Nothobranchius furzeri: one gene and its partners. The protein of the gene in region 4 interacts with the protein of the main gene of each other region in a pairwise test. Links are inferred from orthologs where the notes say so. Each region holds a gene or a part of one and is shown on either strand. Other genes may lie near its edges.

Region 1 (6,137 bases), on a different chromosome or scaffold from region 4:
TAGTTTTCAACAACTGGGCATCATTTTATTCATTTTCAGCAACAGTTCAATGGAAATTTCCAGAGATTAATGGTGAAAAATACACAATCTCTCTTTAAAATGATCGTTTCTTAATTCCAAACGCTGAAAAATTCTGCAGTAATCGTCCACGATGTCATAATTTTTTTTTTATTCAAGTTTTTATTGAACTTTCGTTTAGGGGCTGGTACTTAGCAATCTCAATAGATACTAAACATGGAGGGATTAAACATACAGATATAACAGTTGATTTTTGGATACAGGTCCCAATCATATAACTCTTGCAGACACGTAATGTCGGAATAACAGCAGTCACATAACGTGCTTGACTTCACCCAAGGCCTTTGTCTGTCTTCATAAAGTTCCAGAATCCATCCCAGTGAGAAGTTCCCTCTCTGCTGTCTTCACTCATTCTACATTCATACGATGCAGATTCGGCCATTGCACAGACCCATTACTTAACCTCTGGAGATTCTACTGTGTCTACGATGTCATAATTTACGCAGTTTGGTGGTCTCCTACAGAGGGCCATAAAAAAATGTTTTTCTTCTAATCATTAAATGTGACACAGCCACCCTCCCGGTACTCCGAGTCATGGACGTAGTTTTGGGGGGGTCAGGGGGGACATGTGTACCCCCCACCCCCACTTTTTCCATAGTCTTTTTCTGTCCCCAGCACTTTTTACCGTCTAAAAACAACATTACGCTATATTAAATAGACACTGGTCGAGCACAAGGACCTAGGGGAAAACATCCGCTTGTGTTGAAGTCCGTTTCATATTAGAACCATCCTTGAGGTCATCTACTGGCTCTGCTGATACATGCTAACGTGTGATTGGCCATTCCTGCCACCTGTGTACTTGACAGTCCTGCATTCCTGACATTGCATAAATAAGCCTCTAGGCCAGGGGTGTCAAACTCATTTTAGCTCAGGGGCCACATTGAGGAAAATCTAGTCCCAAGTGGGCCGGACCGGTAAATTAAACACAACTTTAGATTGTTTTCTTTGTTTTAATACAATCACTATAAAACAAAGCTGGAGCCTGAGAACAGTGTATTCAAAATAGTACAAGTACAACACCTGAAGTGTACTTGAAAATTTGAAGAAAAAAAAAATATATATATAATATATATATATATTTATATATATATATATATATATATATATATATATATAATTAAATAAAACATTCCTTAGTGATTCAGAGCTTACTGATAACATGGCTAGATCAGTTCCATGCAGCACTTAAAGTATATTTGACTCATTTTGCTTTACATCTTTTAGCTTTCACCAGCACATCAATATCAGAAGTCACATCCTGAGTGGCGGCCAACTTCAGGATGTGATTCAAGTTCTTGTGTGAGCCTTGAGCGCAGCTTTGTATTATTTATACTCATTACAGAGGAAATTTGCTCACAAAGATAAGTTTATTTTCACTCTACATTGTAAAGTATGAAAATAAAGTTTACACAACCATCTCGCGGGCTGGAGTTAACCTGTTTGCGGGCCGGATCCGGCCCGCGGGCCGTATATTTGACACCCCTGCTCTCGACTGTACTTTTATACATAGTTATTGTATACTTACTGTAAAGACCCCCCCCCCACACACACACACACAAACACCACACACACACACACACACACACACACACACTTCTAAAGTCAAAACTACGTCCATACTCTGAATGGACTAAATTATAGCGCATATTATGAGGTTCCGAACCTCATATTGGTGGCTTCAGTTCAAACACTGAAACCCACATCATGAAATATTAAGTGTAGCTTTATCTTTTACGCTGAACCTTCAGACATGCAGACTTTGCATGTGGGCTTTTGTCTGAGCTGTGCCACAGGTGAGGCTGTTTGCTTAAGGGGCTGGTGACACACGTATTTTTGTTAAACAAGGGCAGGACTTCTGGTGAGCTTCTGTATGCTCATCTAGATGATTAAAATTCAGTAAAGGTATGACAAAAGCAATGTGTAGTTTTAAATATCAGAAAATGAAAGCAGGGTTTAGTGAGGAAGTATCTATGGGTGTGTTTAGATCAGTCTGTCTGCCAAAAGCACCCCCACCCACCCCACTTTCCTTGCAGGAATTCGGGCTTTGGGAGTGGCACAGTCCACATCCTGGGATTTTACTCTACCATAAATGGTAAGCGCGCACATAACATGATGACGTCAGGGCAGGTCTGCATCCCTAACTAAAACAGAGATCATGAGAGGGTAAAATCCGAGGAGGCACCGCTCTGCTCCACCTTAAAGAACTTTAGTTGCATGAACATTTTTCGTAGTAGACAATTAATCACTTTTAAGTAGCATCAGTTTGTCATTTTGGGACACATAATGTTTTAATAAAGCTAGTTTCTGTAATATTACTGTAACACAGGGCTCGGGTGTAGGGTAGGGGCTATTTTAGTGTTCCTGCACGTTAAAAGAGGATGATATTATACAAATATTCTCTTCTGTAGGAGCGTGCGACATTCAATAATTATTTATTTAAGAAAACAAATAACTGTACCGTCACGTGATCAAGAGCAGAGCTAGTTTGTTTACTGACATGGAAACGCGCCGTAGTGAGACATCTTCCTAATACACGATCTCCATAGTATCAGCGAGGAAACGCGGACTTGCCCAACTGAAGGTGAAGGGTCCGCCTTCTGGTTAAATGCTGGCGAGCTGCAGTCAGGCTCAGACCTCGGGCTGCTCAGGAACCGCGCCACAAGTGTGAACAAATAATCTTTTAGCTGCACTTACGACACTCACGTGATGCCTCTCCAGGTTACGTTGGAGGGTCCTGCACCCTGGGGCTTCCGGCTCGTCGGGGGCAAAGACTTCGAGCAGCCTCTGGCCATTTCTCGGGTGAGTTGAACTTTTTTTAAACATGGACTCGTGAAAAATCCACCCCGTTGTAACAGTTTCTAAAATTACAACACAGAGTGAAAGCAGAGTAAGACCTCATCTGGTAGGTTAAGTGTAGGCTAGTTAGCATTAGCTTCATCTGTTTGTTTTTTTAGCGGCGGTCAAGCGAGCCGACATCTAAACATACGGTCAAGCCAGCTGACGTTTACAAGCGGCTAGTATTTACTTGCTCGTTTACATCGTGTATTACGGTTGAGTCGTTGTTTGATCGTGCAGTCTGCAGAGCTACGTTTTTGATGAAATTGGCAGCATATTTGTCCAAAAGTATTATTTAGTTTTACATGTTTTATATTTACCGCGACAATGCAGGGATTCTTTGCATTCCTAATGTCCTTTTTGGCACTCGTAAGGAACTTTTACCGTAATATCTGATGTATGCGTGCAAGAAAATCTTTCTCTAATTTTAAACAGCCATAAACTAGTAATTTTCTCTCTGGTTGTCAGCAGACGTGGAAACCCAGCCTTTTTATGGTTGTGACATGTTTTAGCCCTTTTGCCTTTTATTTTACAACTATGAACAGTCACGCTGAGTTTTTTCTACAGATGAGTAACGGTGACGCTCCTGAAACTGTGAGGTAGCAGATTATGACTCTGCTGTGTACTTTGCCTCAGTAGGGAGTACTCTTGTTTTTTTTTCTTGTTATAAACACCACCCATGGAAATGTGAGGATGAGGAATTCCTGGACTGTGCTTTTCATTTTATCTGCTCATATCTGGATGAAAAGTCTGCCCAGTGGGCCAATAACTGATGATAAATGATAAATGACCTGCACTTGTATAGCGCCTCTCAGAGTAAGGACTCCAAAGCGCTTTACACTAGTGTATCATTCATCCATTCACACACACACACATTCATACACTGGTGGTGATGAGCTACGATGTAGCCACAGCTGCCCTGGGGCGCACTGACAGAGGCGAGGCTGCCGAGCACAGGCGCCAGCAGGCAAGGTGGGTTAAGTGTCTTGCCCAAGGACACAACAGCAGAATTATCTGTCCGGAGCCGGGATCAAACCTGCAACTTTCCAATTACTGGACAACCCGCTCAACCTGTTGAGCCACTGCTGCCTGTTCCTAAGTGGCTCTGCTACCGTTTACTGAAAACTCAACAATGTGTGCAGCTTTCAGACCATAAATATTTTTCAGGAGTATTTTTCCCCAAATGTTCTACAGATGTATTAATAATTACATACAACTGTTGTGAAGGTGTCCAGTACCCCCAAACCTACTGATGAGTACTTCCGTAATGTTCTTTGTTGCAGGTGAACCCTGGGAGTAAAGCAGCTGAAGCCAACCTGCACATGGGGGACATCATTGTTTCCATCAACGGAGAGGCAACCGAGAACATGACTCACTTGGAGGCACAGAACAAGATCAAAAATTGCGTTGACGGAATGGTGCTCTCTATAGACAGGTGGGCTGTCTGAACCACGTTGGTCTCTGCTTTTTGCAGATGATGTGGTCTAGGGCTGCAACAAACGATTATTTGGATCATCAGTGAATCGGGTGGGGTCTCGACTCTATTAAACGGATTAAACGGGAAAATTTAAATCAATCAAACTTTATTTAGAAACCGCTTTTCATACAAAAAATGTAACTCAGAGTGCTTTACAGGTTAAAAAGACCCCACATATCCCACAAATGTCATTAACTAAATTACTTAATTAAAAACTACTAGGGAAACATTTTCTCTCTCTCCTCTCTTTACTTTATTAACAACAAAACATGATTAGAAAACAGTTCAATAGCATGCGAAACAACACGTAGTATATCCATGATTAAACTATGATCAGTACAGTTTGATGTATTTCATTGACATGTTCCATAGTAAGCGACTGGAAATGCTAATAACATTTAATTTCTACTGCTAAAAATGTAATGGTGACATATTTAGGATGCACGGTTTGGCAATAATCCAGTTTAAATTATGTTCACAGATAGACGCATTTGTGAATTAGATGCTACAGGGGCTTGCCATAATCCCGCTGCGGTGTGCAGCAGAGCAGACTCAATCCTGACAGCAGTTGTTCTGCTCCGTAGAGCTGCAGACAGCTAAGAATAAACAGGATGGTGAGGTCTTTTCTTCCACATAGAGTTTAAATGTTCTTAGTTTCGCAACCATCGTGTTTTTATTGTGAGCCTGCTACCCGCTAGCATTAGCTAGTCTGCCCGTATTTGCGCTTTTGATCCCAAATTGTTTCTGCCTTTGTGTCTTTGCTGGTATCCGTTTTCCTCCACAGCACCTAGATTAGCACACGGTGCGTCAGTAAGCGTGTCGTTCCTCATCAAAACACCGGCTTTCTCTCTCCTGATCTGCCTCCATCTGCTCTGTTGCCTCCTACACAAGAACTTCGCACATTCACTGTTAAATAAAGGTTGCGCAACACAACAAATCGATGACGAAATGCGTTACCAATGCATTTCGTCGTCGATTTTTATCGATTCTTTGTCGCAGCCTTAATGTGGTCTTGTTGGCTTAACCGGACAGCGATCTCCATCTTTCGCTGGAGCGGTTCGCAGCTGAGTGTGAAGCAGCTGGAATGAGAATCGGCTCCTCTAAATCGGAGAACATGGTCTTAAATCGGAAAAGGGTAGAATGCCTTCTCCAGGTCAGGTTTGAGGTCCTGCCTCGAGTGGAGGAGTAAGTGTCTCAGGGTGTTGTTCACGAGGGAAAGATGGAGCTCGGAGTTGACCCGCTGCTCCTCCACGTCGAGAGGAGCCAGTTGAGGTGGCTCGGACATCTGGTCAGGATGCCTCCTGGACGCCTCCCTGGCAGGGGCGGATTTAGGACTGAAGAAGATCCGCGCGCGTGACACGCACTAGTCAACATCATATATATTACAAATCACAAATATTTTCAAGTAAGACTCACAAACCGGAGTCAACACCAGTCTCATCAAAGCTGGGGTTCTGTCGCGGTACTTTTTGACTAAAAACGTCTTTATATCCATCTTCACATTTGCGTTTCAGACAGAGACTAGAAGAAGCCAGGCACTGTAGAAGAAGCCGGCTGCTGAAGGGCTTCTACAGTGGTGGAGGCTCAGGCAGGCTGTATACAAACTACTGCCAGCTGCTCCCTCTCTGTTGGACTTTGGTACTGCATGTTACTTCCGCGATTTAGATTCGGGGCTTTTCATGAAACATCCGGGGGTTCAGCCCAAGTAGCCGGGCCTAACGCCGCCCCTGCTCCCCGGTGAGGTTTT
Region 2 (5,945 bases), on a different chromosome or scaffold from region 4:
ACACTTAAAGTAATTTTCTGATTTTTATTTATTTATTCAAAAACCCTGGTTAGGGATGTTTTTCTGTATTTGGAGCATCAGAAAATTTTTTATGGTGGTGGTGATGTTTTAAAGTCACTGAGAAACTGCATGCATGCAGTTTGTTGTTTTGCTGCTACTACAGTAGCAGGTGGAGCTGCATATTTTTGCAATAGAAATATGTTGTAATGGAATTCATGCATTAGTTTTTGTTTGCTTTGAACCCAGAGCAGACGTCACACCCCAGACAACATCAACAATGCATACTTTAGTATAGGGCTGCTCAATTAATCGAATTTTAATCACGATTACGATCTGAGTTTTGAACGATTATAAAAAACAAAACAAGCCGATTATTTGCTCCTCCCGCTTGCGCTGCCCTGAGTTGCAAATGAAGCGCTCCTCCACAGTGTTGCCAACTTGGCGACTTTGACGCTATTTCTAGCAGCTTTTCAGACCCCCTTCTTGACTTTTTAATCCCAAAAGTACCTGGCGAACATCTCAGAAACATCTCTGGTAACCCTTAGCTACTTTCTGGATAACTGTGGTCGACGTTTCCTGCAGGTTAGCTAAACACTCCGCCTGCACTCCGGACCGTTCTTCAGGACATTAGGAAAGGGAATGATGTAGTGATGTGTCGGTCGCTAAAGACAGCTCTCGGAGCCGCTCTGCTCCCTGTTGGAGTAACCAGAGTGAGTGACACACACACCGCACCTGCGGACTCCTGAGCCGCTAAAAACAGCTAAATGTGCGCGTGCGGCGCACTAAACACACGTGCAGCGTGCCCCTGATTGCTGTGAGACCGGGTTGGGGGGTGCAGCTGTGGTTGGGACAATTATTACATTAACTGATGGACTTGTAAATAAATAGTTTGTAAATAAGGTAGAAATAAGTTCCTCACGCTGGTGATAAATAATAACTAATCTCTCTGAGGACACCGTGCTAGTGCACTCTCCTACAGCACCTTGACACAACTCAATAAATGTTATGCAACATTTTGTGAACATCAATTTATTTGCATTTATTTGTTATAAATGCCACTGTATAATTCTTGCTGTCAGTATTTGCAAGATATTGGTATTTGGTTCTGTACTGGTTAGACTTAAATGAGTTAAACCAAGGTCTACAGCCCTTGGGTCATAGACTATGAGCTATAAGTATATTGGTCTTTTATACAGGGAATCAGGAGTTCTTTTAGTGATCATCTTGTTTCTTATTTTTGTCCTGATTGTGCCCTGAGCAATTTTATGACTGAATAAAAACAAATAAAATCAACATAAATTGAAAAATCGTCCTAAATAATCGTGATCTCAATTTCAGTCACCATAATCGTGATTATTATTTTTGCCATAATCGAGCAGCCCTACTTTAGTATTTGTTCATTTATCGTGAGTAATATCGATATTGCAATATTAAGCACTGTTATCGAATATCGCAGGTTTTCCTAATGTCGTGCAGCCCTAATCTCAAGTGTTCTCAATTTGGTTTGAAATGTATTCAAGGAGATAAGTTTGGTTAATTTCCAGTTTTCCTGTAACCTGTTCCATGACTATGGAGCAGTGAATAAAAGGAAATAAAAATGTAAAAGATTGTATTAAAAATGTTAAAGCTCATTTTTAGCCTGTTTATTTTAAAAGACCTCATATCTTCGTTTGATCGTTCTCTTAGGAGTATTACATGTTTTGAATAATCGGACCATTAACTGGTAACTAACAGTTACCAGAAACCACCACACAAGTACTAACTAAACAATCTATATCTAAAACGGGACTGATCAAACATCTGTGAGCAGATCTCACGTTACCTGCTTCTTGCACCGTGAGACCTGTGCTTGAGACCTCTCTCTTCACAACAAAATCTCCATAGTCTGAAGAAAAGCGGTGACAACAGCACAGATAAAAGGTTAATGCTACAGACATGTTTCTTACCGTTGTAGTAATGACCGCCGTCCGCCATGTTGCGTTACTGAAGGGGGGAATTACGGAGTGAAAATACCCCGCGGGCTTTGACCTTTCTTTCACAAAACACAGAACAGTGACACTAAAAACAGCTCAAACACTAAATCCTGTTAAAAAAAATAGCGTAGAAGCTGAACGAAGTGAACTTCGAACTCGCTAGTAACTTAGCTTAGCGAACACCTTCTGCTAACAAGTTGAGGTCATAGCGGAAATATACGTTTGCTCAACTTCCGTTTCCGGGGCATAATTTCCCCTGGAATTCAAATATATAACTCGCGCAAGAGAAAAGCCAGTCGGTCGTAACACATATTTATACGAATACATTTGAAAACTCGTTAGCTGTAGCTTATGCCGATACTATTAGTTGCACTTACTAGGTATTTTTTTCTGGACTCAAATCGGCTCCCTTTCCACAGCTAGTGAACAGAAGTATTCAATAGAACAAAATGTTAGTGCCTAACCTTCAGTCAACTAAAAACTAAAAAAAAAAAAACTTTCATTTTAAAAATATTTTAAGATATCTGTTAACACGAAAATGATGATGCTGCAACAGTAATTTAATTTTCAGTAGATGATATACTGAGTCAATAAATATAAATACAAGAGCAATACATTACAAGCTGCAGTTACAATAACCAATAAACGTCAAGTAACAGATGCCTTTATAATGCAGAAATATAAATTATTAACATTGTTTATGTCTCAGCAAACAATCTTAAACCTTTCATGAGAAATTATGATGCAGAACAGACCAAAGTGAGTCTGAATTTAGAAAAGTAAAGTTCAATTGCTGCTGAGTATTTCATATCCAACTAAGTTTTTGAGATTTCACCGGCTTCTGTGTTTGTTACTGTTTGTAAGCCCTAGTGCGAGCCATATCGGTAACTAAAAGAAAACCATATTCCTCATACACATACTTTTATTTCCTTATTTTTCATGCAAAACATGAATTTTATACAAATTTTATGAGCAACTTTATCAAGGTCATTGGAATTTTAAATTGTGACCATATAATCTAGTCTTTAATGGTAACAATACATCATCTGATTATCTATCAGATGCATTGAAATTAACATGTGACCATGGAAATGAGAAACATGTGCTCCAGCGGGGAGGAATCAAACCGTTAGTCACGTCTAAGTTTAGAACGACTCAATCGTAACAATACATAAGAATAAATGAAAATAATGTTGACATCGTAAAGACTAAACAAAGCTGGGACAAATATTTATTTCACTTACCATCATTTAGCACACGTGTCACCACGGCTAAGTTGGAGTAGCTTTTCCAAATCGGAATCATGTGGCCAATCTAGTAGAAAATCAGATAAATCTTACACTGTTGTTTGAAATACGTTGTTACTAAAAACAAAGAATCAACTCAAATGTGCGCAGCGCGAGACAATTACAACTTACACTTTAAACGGGTTTATCGGTTTTTAGTCTTTTGAACGGAACCCACTAGATGTTAGCGTTAGCAAGCTATTTACGTTAGCATGGCGGTTTTCGAGCTACACTCAGAAGCACAGTCTGACAACCATCGATATATGTCGGTTATATTGACGCTCAAAATAATTTCCCCCAGTTTCATAATATTTTAACTAAAACGTGAATTTTCTTCCCTCTAAGATGTTAGGTTGTGTTTGTCCCACACTTTTCCTCCTATGCACGCAGTTAATGACGTGACGCCACCTGCTGGGATCGACAGAGACCAGCAGGTGTAATGTCAAGATCATCCGAGATTTACATTTTTTTTAACGTATTGTTTGCTTCTTGCTTCATTTTCCAACAAATAATACAATGTTTAAAAAAACATAAAAAATATTTTTATTCTTGTCTGATAAATGTGTTTAGAATAGAATAGAATAGAATAGAATAGACCTCATTAATCCCACTGTGGGGAAATTCACTTGCTACAGCAGCACATACACTTAGAAAAGGAAGAAAGAAAAAATTAAAGCTGCAACCAGCGTCTTCTAGCCCTCGCTTGGTGTCACTCCGGCCTAGTGTCACAACCGTGGCTGTGAGTAGTATACGGACACTCACGAAATTTTATGCAGATAAGATGATAATTGAAGTATTGAGTCTGTGGCATGATGTCTGAATTCTCCATGCCCCCAAAGCCCTAGCTACCTTCTTCTTTAGAAACCTACTAATACTTGACACAAACTGACCCCTACATGTCAGCTATTGTTTAGCATTTATGTTGATTAGGTAAAAGAGATCAACCGCCAGGAGGCGACAAACACCCGAAAATCCCTTTTTCTTCTTTATGTTGTTTGACCAAATTTTCAGATAACGTCATTGTTTAGCATATATCAACATTTATGAATAAGCCCAATGGCATTTGGCATATCAGATTGATGATATAAAATGTTTTCCCTCAGGTGGATTCTTGGTCATTGATCATATCTAGCCAGTAGGATGCTATGTGTAAGAATGGGCTTGCATGTGTCTCTGCAGATGCTTAATAACTTTTAATAATTCTGTAAAACTAGCTAAATCCCAGTTGATGTCTCAGCTTGTGGCAACAAACAGCCACAGACCTCAGGTCCTTTTTAATGTTTTAAACTGTTTAATTAATCCTGTTAATGTTGGCGCTGTTGTACCTTCTCAGAGTTTGTGTGACAACTTCCTGAAATGTTTTTTCAAATAAAATTCTGCAGATCAATAATGGAAAAAACCATCAGAACCATATTCATCTGTGTAAAGAAAATCGCAATAGGAAAATTTGATTTTGCATTACCTTCAACTGAATATCTGTTCAGCTCTGTTTAAATCCCACTCGTTGTCCAGCAGACATCTGTGACAGAAGTTTAAGATTTTAGAAACACATTTGGTTATGTTACACCCCTATCTGGTCTAGCAGGTCCAGGAGGGAATAACACGGGATTAAAAGGTGAAAGGGAACCAACCAATGACTCATATTTTAAATAAAAGAGTCCCATAAAAAAGGAACTATGATGGTTAATTGAAAACTTTAAACACAGGGCACCTCCTTACTAATAATAAGGGAGGGAAAGCTATTCAAAACTAATATTTCAAACACTAAATAGAACATCCATCCATCCATCCATCCATCCATTGTCTGTACCCGCTTGTCCATGTAGGGTCGCGGGGGGGTGGGGTGGGGTGGGGGGGTATGGGGGTTCTGGTGCCTATCTCCAGCGGTCAATGGGCAATATGGCGGGGTACACCCTGGACAAAGTGCTGGTCCATCGCAGGGCAAGTCAGAGAAACACAGGACAAACAATCATGCACACACACACTCACGCCTAAGGACAATTTAGACAGACCAATCAACCTAACAGTCATGTTTTTGGACTGTGGGAGGAAGCCGCAGTAACTAAATAGAGCAGCGGCTCAAAACTCAGTTAACTATCTAAAGGACCAACTACTCAAAACAGCTCAAAACAATAAGTCCTCTGGACATAACTAAAGGTTACTCTTAGCTAAAGCCAAACAAAAAACAAAAGAGCACAACAGGCCAAATCTAAATTCTAAACCATCAACAGACTGGATCTGGGCTCCAAACTTCAAAACCAGAGAGACTAAAAGGGGCTTTAAAAGAGTATACAAGCAGCTGCTATTGTGCCTGGGAGAACAACAGACTAGCTCTGAGTTCCCCCTGTTGTCTGGAGAGAAGAAGAAGAAGAAGAAGAAGAAGAAGAAGAAGAAGAAGAAGAAGAAGAAGAAGAAGAAAATATCATTTCTATAGCGCCTCTCAAGATAAAAATCACGAGGTGCTTCACAAAAACAAAAAAAAAATGTTAAAATATAAAAAAGCATTTAGAAAATGTTTAAAAATATATTTAAAATGAGCAAAAATAGGCAATTGGGATTTAAAAGAAAAAATGTTAAGAAAGAGAGAGAGAGTGAATAGGAAAGAGGGAAAAATCAGTGGATCCTGAGGAAGGTGGAATAGGTGGGGAGAGCAGAATAAAGAGAGAGGGGTGAAGAAGGTCATACA
Region 3 (5,990 bases), on a different chromosome or scaffold from region 4:
GATACTTGACTGTTGCTCTCCACGAACCTAATTTTGCTTGTTTGCTCTGATGGAATTTGTCGGTTTCCTCATCAACCAGCAGAAACATCACGCTGTTGCCCCCCTGTTTTATCTTGTTCACTGCTTCCTCGTGGGTGCATTTTTCAACGTTCTCACCATTGATTTCAATTAGACGATCTTTGGCACGAACTCCTGCTTTGTCCGCCACACCCCCCCGAATCACCTCAGTCATGAACAGACCCTCCTCTCCTATAGTCATAAGGCATATAGATAGATAAGCAGATAACATGTGTTGCTAAGGGTGAGAGTGTTGCTGTTGCTGATGGAAAACCACATAGGAGTGGTTTATGTTATCATAGGTGTGTTCTGTTACTCATCTAACAACTTCAGAGTGAAGTACAAGTATAAGTCATAGTAGCATGTAGGACAACTCAGATATAGGGTCAAAGTAGTTCAAATGTTATTGGTGTACTTCTCAAATGAAAAAGACAAACCCAATCATAGCTTGTGTTTCAATAGATCATTTTTTTCTGACTTAATTACTTTATGAAAATAAATAATAAATAAAATGAGTTGTGAAAGTAGCCAATCCAAGTATTAAAATTGCACAAATGGGTTAATTAAAAGGTATTTTTTTCTTTTTGCATAAACATTTAAATACTGCTAACATTGACTTAGACTTTAAGTTGCAATCTTGAGAATTGTAGATTTTCTTTAACCCTTTACAAATGTACCTTACCTTTAAATGAGCTAATGGAAAACCCAAATCCTGACTTAGATTTGACCAGGTAGCAGAGTTTGGGCTTCCAATCTTCTTTAGCCAATCCGTTGGCAATGGGTGAGCTTTGAGGGTCGGAGAGGTTCACTCCGAGTGTTTTTGCTTGATTGTAAGACGATTCATCCAGAATGTGGAATGTGACAGATGCTCCACTGTTTCTCACCAGCTCCACCACCTAGTAGAGGGACACCATGGAAATTCACTGCTGGTGATTGGATCTGCTGTGTATCTACATTCTGCTCACCTCTGAATGGGTAAGCCCATCGACAAATTTTCCATTGACCCGAAGGATGCGGTCTCCATCTTTCATACCAGCCAGTTCAGCTGGACCTCCCATTTCCAGGCAGCGAATCAGGTGGCCCTCCTTACTTTGCTCCACCCTCAGAAAGAAGCCAAATGTCTGACCAGGCCTCTTGGCCAGGGAGATCACCCTTGGCGTGTACGTGGCCATTGTCCTAACATGAACAAAGAAATAATAAACGGTACTTAACAGAGATGCAAGAAAATGTTGAGACAATGTAATATCGCAATATTCTGTATGTATTGTACTTCTTTTGTGTGGTGCAATTCAAACTCCGGCCGCTAGGTGGCAGCAGCTTTTACTGCCTTCATTCTGACAAACCAGCGAGATCTCACAATAATACTGAATGTGTCTTGGAAGCATTTGGCCTCAGTTTTCAAATAAAACTGTTTTAACATCTGCAAATATTGTCAGCTTTTAACTTCACAGTAAATCATATCGTCTCCCTTGTATTGCACACACACACACACACACACACACACACACACACACACACACACACACACACACATATATATATATATATATATATATATATATATATATATATATATATATATATATATATATAGTTAAGTCTTAGGCGTAAGGGGTGGGGGGACAACCGAGGACCAGCGGGAATCTTTTCAGTATGTTCTAATGGGAAACAGGCTTCAACACAAACAGTTGTTTTCCACTTGGTCCTAGAGCTCAACCAGTGTCTACTTAATATAGAGTAATATTGTTTTTGGACGATAAAAAGTGCAGGGGTCAAAACATGACTTTGGCAAAAGTGTGCGTGGGTGTGGGGTGTGTGTGTGTGTGGGGGGGGGGGGGGTGACATGCCCCCCCCCCCCCCCCCCCCAACCACACACACACACCAAAATTTATATCCATGCATGGATTCACCCATCTTGACTCGTGATGGGGAAGGCTGTTGTTGGTTTAGCATCCAGGAATCAGCAGAGAACGTCTTGGCTAGTGGAATCTAGTTAGCATTAGCAACTCCACCACACAGCAGAACTCCTTCAGGGTTGAGTTATTTGTGGAGATAAAACGTTAACTTTTGTCACGTTGCTGTTAGCCAATCCAATGCAAGATGACCAAATATCAGGAAATAAAACTACTAATCTTGTTGTCTGAAGCTACTTTCTCCTTCAGCTTACTTCTCTGTGCTGAAACAGGAGCATCATAAATTAGAATCCATTTCTTTCTGCTAGAGATCATTGCCGATGCATTGATTAACTGAGTGTTCCACACCTTTAAAGTGTCAATAAATTTGACCAAGCCAGTTAAGCCTTAGACTTATTTTGGTTTTAGAGCTTTGAGATTGGAAAATGCAATCGAACTTAAACAGCTGTTTTTCCCCTTTACATTTGTTGACGATCATAAATTAGTTCACCTTGTAATCTATTGTGCTACGCATTAAGCATATTTATCAGAGTGGATACTTCAGCACATAAAGACGTGACAGAAGTGCTGATAGAGGATGAAAAGTTACTCTTCCATGACAACAGGCATGTAATGATTTGCAGGACACACAGCTGACAGTGAAATAAAAATCACTGGACTTTGAATCCAAATTAAGGGTTGTGGGTTTAACTCTCAGCGGGATGCTATAAAAGGCAGGTGTGCTTATATTAAAAACGCAAACACTCATGTCTTAAACGAGATTCATTGCAACGTTTAAGAAATTTGTAAATTAATAAAAACTTTGGGTTTGTTTTCATGATGTATTAAATACAAAATGTATTTTAATTAGTTTTAACTATTTCAATGTATAATTTAGGCAATTAAATAATTAAAAACACACTAATAACAACTTAAAATAGAGTTATGACCTTTATCTTAGAGTTAAAAAGGTGTAATATTTATTTTATCCTTATAAAAGAAATGTTTAGCTGTATGCTTCATTTGACTTTATTAATCTTGTTTTTTTTACTTGTGCTTACAGCTGAAGTATTGATACAACTATTAAAAGTTTAATAGTTATTTAAAAGCGGTACATATTTGTAATGTGGTTATAAAGTTTACGTCGTATTAGATTTGATTTTAACAGCTTTTTCACCAAAATATAAAGCTAGTTTAATATTAAGAGCCCCAAAGAAGTAGATTATTCTGTTCAATACTTAAAAATTGGAAAATAATATCAATAAACCCAAAGCAACAAACAGTGATAACACCGTTTTTAACTTGTTGATATTTTTTCACCTGTTAAAGTATCAGAGGTTTTCCAGCAAATGATTAAACGTGTTCTTTAATCTCCACAGGAAACCTTTATGAATCTTAAAATTTCCCCAAATTTATTTAAAAAAAAGTATAACAATAAAAAATAAAGAGTAAAATAAACATTTCACTCACCGACTCTCCTCTGTTGAGTGTCTGCGTCTAAAGGGGGAGCTCACCTGTCACTGATTAGCTGTTATGGCATCTTAAACCTGCACTCCCCCCTCCCCACCTCCCTAAGGGACTTTGACAGGTCAAAGTTCAGCCTAAAGAGTTATTTAACAACGTCTTGTGTCATGAGTGTCTGAGGCTCTTTGCAGTCTGTCGAGTGCGAGCAGTCATCTATTTATTTTTCAAAGTTTGCAGCAGGTGGCTGCTGAACAGCCATGTTCACACATCATAGTCAGAATCCACAAGACTGCATCCTGTTTATGTTTATTTATCTAAAATTCATGAATAAAACACACAGAAGAGGCCATCAGCCATTAAGATTAAGAAAACATACTTAGTATCTGATTTATGAAAGTTTATGTTGTGGAAAAACAACATTTAGCAAAAATAAATGTCCAATTAAATTCAATATGGATATTTTTTATTATATTTTCATGTGTGGTTTATTTATTTTTTATTACTTTTATTAGTTTGATTTAGATAATCTCTAGCACTCAGTGAAGAGAACGAGGATTTATTTCACAGAGGTTTTATTGTAGTTTGTCATGTACGTACTCCGTCTACAAGGTTTTTTATGATGTTCCCAGTAAACGTGGGTGTATTGTTTATTGTTACTGTAGCTGTAGGTATGAAGGTCTTGTACTGCTGTCATATGGACTGGACAAAGGTGTGTTTTTACAGAAACGTGTCATAAATGTCAAATTCTAGGAGCAAGCATGAGGACTTGGACACTAGGGGACTTCATAATAGCATCTCAAATATTTTAAAATAAAGGTAAGCAATAACTAAAATTACAAATTAAATTAAATGAATCATGAAGGAAATAATCATCTGTCTTTACCTTATTTGTGGCTGATATAGGACATTTTTTTCTAAACTAGATGGAAACTTTTATTTTCATTTTGATTCTGCTTTAGTAAAATATCAAATGATTCTAAAAAAATAAACTTCTTATGCATGTTGGAAAAACACTGATTCTGTTATAAGCTCTAAATCATATTCAGTGCATTGATTTCTGTCAGAAAACCTTTGAGTTGGCACATTTTCTTTATTTTTTTGGCACACTGCTGCCCTTAATAGGGCATTACCACTAGAAGCATTAAGGCACATTGATAGAAATTAGTCGCTGATGGTGGAAAGATGCAAGGGCATCCATTATCCAGGTTCCGGACAGCCTGCAAGAATGTGGATCACATTACAGCCTCCTGTTCTATGCTGTAAGAAGTGCAGCACAAACTGCACACAGTCAAAAGTGTCTCTTTCAAATTTACAAGGGAAAACTGTTAAATTAGGCATTTTACTCCTTTTTGCATTGAGCAGTAACAAAGTAAATGGTCATGATCAGTTCCTGGGTTCCTGTCAGTACTGTTTAGCACTCAGATCTTTAGAAGAATGCTTGTGATTTTATTTTATTTTTTTATTTTTTTGCTTCCTACAATCAAACTAAATGTGGCTAACTTGACTTTTTTGCAGGATTTACATGCCAGTAAGGTTAGACAGAACAACAGCCTGCTAGAGTTTATGTCCAGAGATGTTGGCAAAGCTTCAGAATCCTGATGAAAGGTGGGTTTTTAAAGACAACATGTTTTTTATGCATCTCTGAACCCAGAATTGTTGAGGCTTTAAATGGCCCAAGGATCATGAACACTCAGGAATCGTTTGCATACACAGATTTCCTTTAATTATCTGAATATTTCAGTGATGTTGTGTACTGCAGGCAATGAAATGACCACATTTGTTGCATTTTATGGCGTCTCTGAGCTGTTGTCGGTTATCCTAATTGGCTCAGATGTTCCACCAGGTGGTTGGTGCAATGATGTGGTGGCTAACACTGTTACCTCACAGCCCAAAACCCCATCTTTTCCTAATAATCTGCTTTTGTTTCTAATCGTGCACGTTAGAGTTAGTTACTAAACTTTAAAGGGCAGGAGAATGATTCTATGTGTGATTTAACTCTGATGGACGAGTGACCTCATCATTATCCACCTCTGGCGACTAGAACGGGCTCATTAATAAAAGTTCCAGCACATTTTTACACAGCTTCAAATGATCCAAATTAGAATAAAACTGTTTTGATGTTTAATTTGCACAGTTGCAAAGATTAACAGTCCATTAATTTGTAAACTAATTTTTAATTTGCATTTAATACAAATTGAATTGCTACTTTCAGGTAAAACACGCTGCACAAGCCCAGGGATCAGTTTTACTGTTTTTCATGCAGATATCACGTTTACTGCACTAGTCAGACGCCCGTCCAGTTGATGGGTCAGTGTTCTGAGCATCCCCATCAAGACACAACTCAGTAACTCCGACAATGCAGCCGTCGGCTCTGTTAGCCCGGAATGATCATTGAGCTATCGATCCCTGGAGTCAAAGAGCCACTGGCGGAGCTGAAGGGAAGGAGACAAAAATCCGCTTCAGCTCTGCTTTGCACTGATGCATCCACTGTCCATTACCTGCAGTCTCCACCTGGGGTTTGATGTCCCTTCACAGCGTTTGTATTGACGAGCCTTCTGGAGCTAGAGGGTTTATTTG
Region 4 (6,193 bases):
CTGATGTGGGAATAAAAACAGTCACTTACATTTCAAATTTACTGCTAAAATGAAAAAAAGGGTCTGCAACACTCTGGTTTACCTGCTCTCCTCCCCCTCTAGGAGCTTCCTGTAGGTGGCTATCTCAATATCCAGAGCCAGCTTGACGTTGAGGAGGTCCTGATACTCCTGGAGGTGTCGTGCCATCTCCTCCTTCAGAGTCTGGATCTCTTCCTCCAGACGGCTCGCCGTGTCCTGATAACCTGCTGTTTCCATGGCACAGCGGTCCTCCAGCTCCCGAAGCTGGCGTTCCAGAGACTCGTTCTCAAATGGCAAAGGAGGTGAGACAGTCGTGTGAGTCAGTTAATAAAAACAAATCAAACACGATTAAATCATCTATCAGGCAGCAGGAGGAGGACCAAATCCTACTTGTTATTTTACAGATTTGACATTTTCCTGATGGTTTTGTCGGTTAGCCGAGCTTACTGTGCCACGAAGAGCATCCAGGTCACAGGTCAACACTTGGACCTGACGGCGGTAGTCATTGGCCTCCTGCTTGGCCTGACGCAGGGCTTCTGCATTTCGATTGGCTGCGTCTGTCAGGTCAGCAAACTACAAAGGAAATAAAATGTATAAATAGATTATCTGGATGTTTACTCTAAAATAACAACTTTTACTCTTCACAAAAATTTCCACAATAAGCTCTCAGTCACAATGCAAGAGGTTTGAGCGTTTCTTTTATTTTATTTTTTAACTCATTCACTGCCACCGTTTTCTGAACAGAAAGCCCCCGACTGCCAGACTCACAGAGTATTGTGCTCTAGGACCACGTAAACACCAAAACTACCAAAAGAAAGAGTAGAGTCAGCGTGTTCTTTCACAATCCATTGTCCACGTGTGAGCCGCAGAAGCTTTTCCGGTTTGTGCCTCGCTTTAGGCATAGCGGTGTCCCAAACCGATTTCCTAATTCATTGATTGTCTGCTTCCTGATCACATGACATGTGACACACACAGGTGAAAATATACTTTAGAGCTGATGTTTATCGTCAAAGCCCCGTTAAAAAAAGCCAGTGACTTTAGTCGTCATTGGTAGTGAATGAGTTAAAAGTTGAGTTTGAGTTTTTTATGCAGGGTGAACATGAAAATAGTCTCCTACACCTATCTCCTGCATTACCTTCTGATAGAAAATAGATGGTGAAACTCTAGGATTTTAAAATCCTCACACATCTATGTCACACTATGAATTTGCATTCATGGTCTCGCCCATCTTGGCAAGCGCCCGTCCACAGGAAGGCTTGTTTTTTTTGCAGCAGGGAGAGCGAGCGGAGGGTGTTTTGGTGACAGTGACATGGCTGAACATGTTCTGTTAGCCAATCAGAAGCAAGACGTGTGCAATTCAATAATAGTAATGAGTAATTCTACTGTTTTCAGTCCATCTCTGCACCAGAAAACATCTGCATCTCATAACAGGAGCATCATAGCTTTATTTTTTTTTATGGCTCATAAGGCATTGAATTACACTAAAGAACACTGCACAAGTATTGAATAAATGAGTAAATCCCTCCTTTAAAAGTAAAATATTTGACCTTGGATCGGTACCAGTCCTCTGTCTCCTGCAGGTTTGAAGTGGCCATATTCTCGTACTGAACTCTGATGTCTCTCAGAGCAGCAGTTAAATCTGGTTTTGACACATCCACGTCAACGTGGACCTGTTGGGCCATGATCTGCTCCTGCAGCTCACGCAGCTCCTGGAAGAAAAACGTGGCAAAAGTCGTGATTTTGCTAAAATCTGTCTAGTTGTTTTGGACCAACTTCAGCGTTTCTTCATACTTCTTCATGAATTTTCTTCAGGAAATTAATTTCATCCTGCAGGGCCTCGATCTTTCTCTCCAACTGGACCCGACTGAGCGCTGCTTCATCCACATCCTGTGTGAATAATGAGAAACATCGCAGGATGACAGCAAACAACATTGAGATTGTCAATATTTTAAAGATTTTTTAATATTACTAATATTTCCACCTGTCTGAAGGCGTTCAAGCTGTTCTCTGCTTCCTGTCGGAGGCCCATTTCATCCTGCAGCCTGAGTCAAGAAAAATGTGAAGAGCTTCTTACTGAGAGTTCCCAGCCAGGAGGAATTAAATTACACTAAAATATTTCTGAAACATTTGATATGTATATATGTATATATATATATATATATATATATATATATATATATATATATATATATATATATATATATATATATATATATATATATATATATCACAAATGAGAGCACAATGTCTGGGGTCCTTGGGTCAGAAAAAACAAACTCCTGCGCAAAGTTTAGTTAGCTAAAGTTTAATTAAGAAAAATTAAACGTATTTTAAAAATGTGTTCAGATTTTTGTTTTGTCTTCTACTGAGCTGCAGAGGAGTGGCAGGACTCAGCTGAAAGAGCAGCGGCTTACGCATCATTACACTTCCAGTCTAATCTAACAGCCGGAGGAGACCTTTCCCACGGGATGGAACACACACACACACACACACACACACACACACACACACACACACACACACACACAGAGAGAGAGAGAATCCGTGTCAGCGCAGCACACAGACTGATCCTACCCACTAGAAGCAAATGAAACGTAGAGTGACATCATGCAGCTTCATGCAGAGGTTGCTAACAGAAAGAGCAGCACGAATTTTAAAAAAGGTGACCTTTAACCCCTGAAGCAGCAGCATCCCTATTCATCCTGCAATCTCTCACAGGACCAGCAGCTGCTTGGTCAGAGGGCAAAAAAAAAAAAAACCCTCCAGTTTCCACCCTGAGACTTTCTATTGGCCTGTCTCAAAATGAAAAAGCTGACATGAGGCGTGATGGTGGATGTGGAGAAAAGGAGCCGGATAACCAGCGGTGGTGACTTTGTGCTTTGGAGAAAGAGAGGAAAGCTACATCTGCCTGGCATTCTGTTCCCTTTGTGGAGCGCCACCATTGTGCTGCTTCATTCCTCCACACTGACTGAATGGCAGCGAGGGTTCAGTCAGGATCACGTTTGTAAAGAGGGATAGAGGAGTAAAGCCCAGGCAGACCACAGCGCTCTGCATTCCAACCAACCACAAACACATGTAAACAGAAGCGCTACGTAAATACAGACATGACAGGTGTATTTACAGGAATTAACAAAAACATTCTTCACAAGGTCAAATTACTCCTCTTTATGTAGTTTGAAGCACTGAGACTTTTTTGGGGGCTGTTCCGGTTTTCTCCTGGATTTATAAGCTGATGGGAAGAAAAGACTAGGGGAAAAGTTTTAATCCCATCATTATTTCTGTGAAGCATCAATAGGACAGCGAGCACACAAGACACACAAAGGCCCAGGTCTACTTTGGGACCGTTCTCTCCTACCTCTGCTTGAGCGTGCCCAGGTCTGCAGACAGGTTGTCCCTCTCTATCTCCAGACGAGCCTTGCCATTGGTGAGATCGTCCACCTGCCGTCGTAGATCTCTCAGCTCCATCTGGTAGATGTCCCCCAGGCGGCTAGGCTCCTTCCCCTTCAGCTGGTTCAGTTCTGCCACCAGAACTTTGTTCTGCTGCTCCAAAAGCCGCACCTTCTCTATGTAGCTGGCAAAGCGGTCGTTCAGGCCCATCATCTCCATCTTCTCGTTGGTACGAGTTTCTTTGTACTGGGCCTTCAACAAGGAGTCAGCTGAGAAGTCCAGCCGGTCAACGGGGCTGCCCAGCAGCAAGGCCGTGCTGGAGGAGCCCAGGGAGACCCGGGAGACGGGGCTGGAGTGGGTGATGCTTCGAGGGGCGCCATGCCAGGAGAGGCGGTGGGAAGATAGTCCACCTATTTTACCTCCTGAGCTGCTTGAGCTCTGCGGCCCAAAACGTCTCCTGTATGAGGACTGTGCTCTAAGGCTGTCCATGATAGGGAATAAGCTCATTCAGGGGACAAACAGGGCTTTTATATAGGGAGAAACCCCCCCACCCCAAGTCCAGCAGAGAGGCCACAGGCTGGGGCAGTGAGAGAGGAGGGTGGCAGGCAGTGAATGGAACAAAAAGAGATGGCAAAGGGGAGGTTTACATGCGCCAGGGATTGTCTGTGCTCCTCCACTCAACTACAAATGTCTCCTGGATTTTTTTTTTTACCCTCTCGTCTCCCCCTTTTCTCCCCTTGGGCTCACTCTTTCACGCTTACGTTCGCCCCGTTTTTGTTCGCCCTCTTTCTTTCTGTTCCAAGCGAATGAAAAGGAATTTTGTGCAACAGAGTCTGGCCACAAATTCAACCTGACCACACACACTCTCGCAGCCGCGGCAGGAGGACCGGTCCAAACAGAAGAGCATGTTGGGGAGGTCGGCAATAAAGACAGAAGATAAAATCACATGCTCACAGCATGCTTTGAGCTCTAAATAAACAAGATGTAGGACTGAACTATCAACATTCCTCCCGATTCCTGTTGGGATCTAGTTACGTAACGACATAACTGCTAATAAACTCGAGAATAATTTAAAACATTGGATTCATTTTTAGAGTTACAGGTTTTCCGTCCTGCATCCATATCTGCAATGCTTAAAATGAAGGAAGTATAGGAGGAGACAATAAATGAACACATTCTGAAAGTTTTATTTAAAGATAAACAGGAAGACAAATCAGCAAAGGTCTGACATGAGAGACCCTGCTGATCATCTGTGGCTCAAGCTTTCAGTGTTTGCGAGGCTGTTGGTAACAAATTAAATAAAGATTTAATTCGAACTGGTTATGGATCCACGCAGAAGCCAATCAAATAGTTCATGGACCAGAGCTAACATTTCTCAGAAAGGATTTAATCACTGGTCTGATAAATAATCATCAGTTATATAAAGCTACCTTCTCATTTCACAGTAGAGTAATACATGAATTCATCCTTTCAGCATTTGTGGGTAATGATAGCATTCATCCTGTCATCATCGTGGAGGATGCAAACCGCTGTAGAAGAAGAAAAGGAGTTACAAGATTTTGATTCTGATGATTGTGAACTAGTTTCAGGTTATTTGACATCCGGCTGCTTGGAGAGACAGATAGACGGAGTAGATGAAGAGGAGCACGACGATGAATACAAGAAGGACGGGGGGGGGGGGGGTTCGGTGAGTGCAAACCTAATCTGAACTTCAGAATGACAAACGGAGGCTGCATTACAAAACCCTTTTGACTCATTACCTTGACAACCGCTGGGCCGGCTACATCAGAGCACTTCAGCAAATCTTCTCTTGACTTTTTCTTCGTCTAAAGTCGAGCAGGAAGAAGAGAATGTGACCTGCTTTCTTCTGTAAGTGGCCAGAAGGGTCCCTCAGTGCAACAATGTTACCTAATGAGGCCAGGAAGCAGGTGAAGTGATGAACAGCTGCCAGAGAAGGGGGGAAAATAAATTCCCTTTAGCCTATAATCTTTATCGTCTTTATTTTTTTTAATGCTGTAGAAATTGTTGATGATAAATATAAATAACTGAGGAAATAGATCTTTGTATTATTTCACAGTTTTTGGTCCAACATTTTCAAACCTTTGTTTCCTTTAAGCAACAGTTTCTCAAATTTCAACCTTTGACCTGCAGGTCAACCACCTGGGAGAGAACAGTTCTTACTGAAGTATGACTAAACACCCCAGACTGGCAAAAACCAACAGCATTTGGTGTTTAAATGAGTGGTGTTTGAAAACAAGACAATAATAATAATAATAATAATAATAATAATTTATATATATATATATATATATATATATATATATATAATTATTATTATAACTATCAGCTTATAACGACTGGGTTGCTGCTGGCAAACCTAGGTCTGGGACGATGCTGGAGTCTAAGAAGGCTGCTAATGCTAGATTTAAGAATGCAGTGTGCCACATTAAAATGGAAGGAGTTAAAGCTCACCAGCAACAGTAAACCACCGCACCAGCAACCATTAATGGAGTATCTGGAGATAAGAGTACTGCAGATCTATGGGGGAAACACTATATGTAAATAGTCATGAGTTCAGCTTAGGTAACATCGAGTTCAACTATGGCATGATTGTCCGAGCTTATGAAGTCTGCCTTGCCATTGAGAAAATAAATAAAGCGTGTGGCCTAGACCAACTATCAGCGGAGCACATGAAGTATGCTAGTCCAAGAGCTCATGTACTACTCTCATTATGCTTTACCAGTCTTTTGAAGCATGGTCTCTTACCATGAAATGCTATCAGTTCCAT

What was found. The genes of interacting proteins can lie anywhere in the genome.
Region 1: the proteins of gfap (region 4) and pdlim1 interact in binary tests that used the Homo sapiens proteins (3 or more experiments, as listed by UniProt). The link is inferred for Nothobranchius furzeri from reciprocal best matches to the Homo sapiens genes GFAP and PDLIM1.
Region 2: the proteins of gfap (region 4) and nxf1a interact in a two-hybrid assay, tested with the Homo sapiens proteins (3 studies listed by BioGRID and IntAct). The two-hybrid records come from large-scale screens. The link is inferred for Nothobranchius furzeri from reciprocal best matches to the Homo sapiens genes GFAP and NXF1.
Region 3: the proteins of gfap (region 4) and pdzk1 interact in binary tests that used the Homo sapiens proteins (3 or more experiments, as listed by UniProt). The link is inferred for Nothobranchius furzeri from reciprocal best matches to the Homo sapiens genes GFAP and PDZK1.

Annotation. Positions count from the first base shown.
Region 1 is NC_091752.1:6,247,824-6,253,960, reverse strand, and holds the start of pdlim1 (PDZ and LIM domain protein 1), read left to right. Parts: upstream 1-2,627; 5' UTR 2,628-2,784; coding exon 2,785-2,877; intron 2,878-4,196; coding exon 4,197-4,348; intron 4,349-6,137. UniProt on the Homo sapiens protein: Cytoskeletal protein that may act as an adapter that brings other proteins (like kinases) to the cytoskeleton. Involved in assembly, disassembly and directioning of stress fibers in fibroblasts.
Region 2 is NC_091741.1:88,147,514-88,153,458, forward strand, and holds the start of nxf1a (nuclear RNA export factor 1), read right to left. Parts: upstream 3,511-5,945; 5' UTR 3,392-3,510; intron 3,288-3,391; 5' UTR 3,279-3,287; coding exon 3,218-3,278; intron 2,177-3,217; exon of another isoform or gene 1,975-2,176; coding exon of another isoform or gene 1,947-1,974; intron 1,886-1,946; coding exon 1,823-1,885; intron 1-1,822.
Region 3 is NC_091754.1:24,604,195-24,610,184, forward strand, and holds the start of pdzk1 (Na(+)/H(+) exchange regulatory cofactor NHE-RF3), read right to left. Parts: upstream 3,511-5,990; 5' UTR 3,420-3,510; intron 1,234-3,419; 5' UTR 1,230-1,233; coding exon 1,023-1,229; intron 954-1,022; coding exon 740-953; intron 250-739; coding exon 1-249. UniProt on the Homo sapiens protein: A scaffold protein that connects plasma membrane proteins and regulatory components, regulating their surface expression in epithelial cells apical domains.
Region 4 is NC_091745.1:10,095,057-10,101,249, reverse strand, and holds the start of gfap (glial fibrillary acidic protein), read right to left. Parts: upstream 3,930-6,193; 5' UTR 3,913-3,929; coding exon 3,374-3,912; intron 2,061-3,373; coding exon 2,000-2,060; intron 1,906-1,999; coding exon 1,810-1,905; intron 1,728-1,809; coding exon 1,566-1,727; intron 592-1,565; coding exon 466-591; intron 304-465; coding exon 83-303; intron 1-82.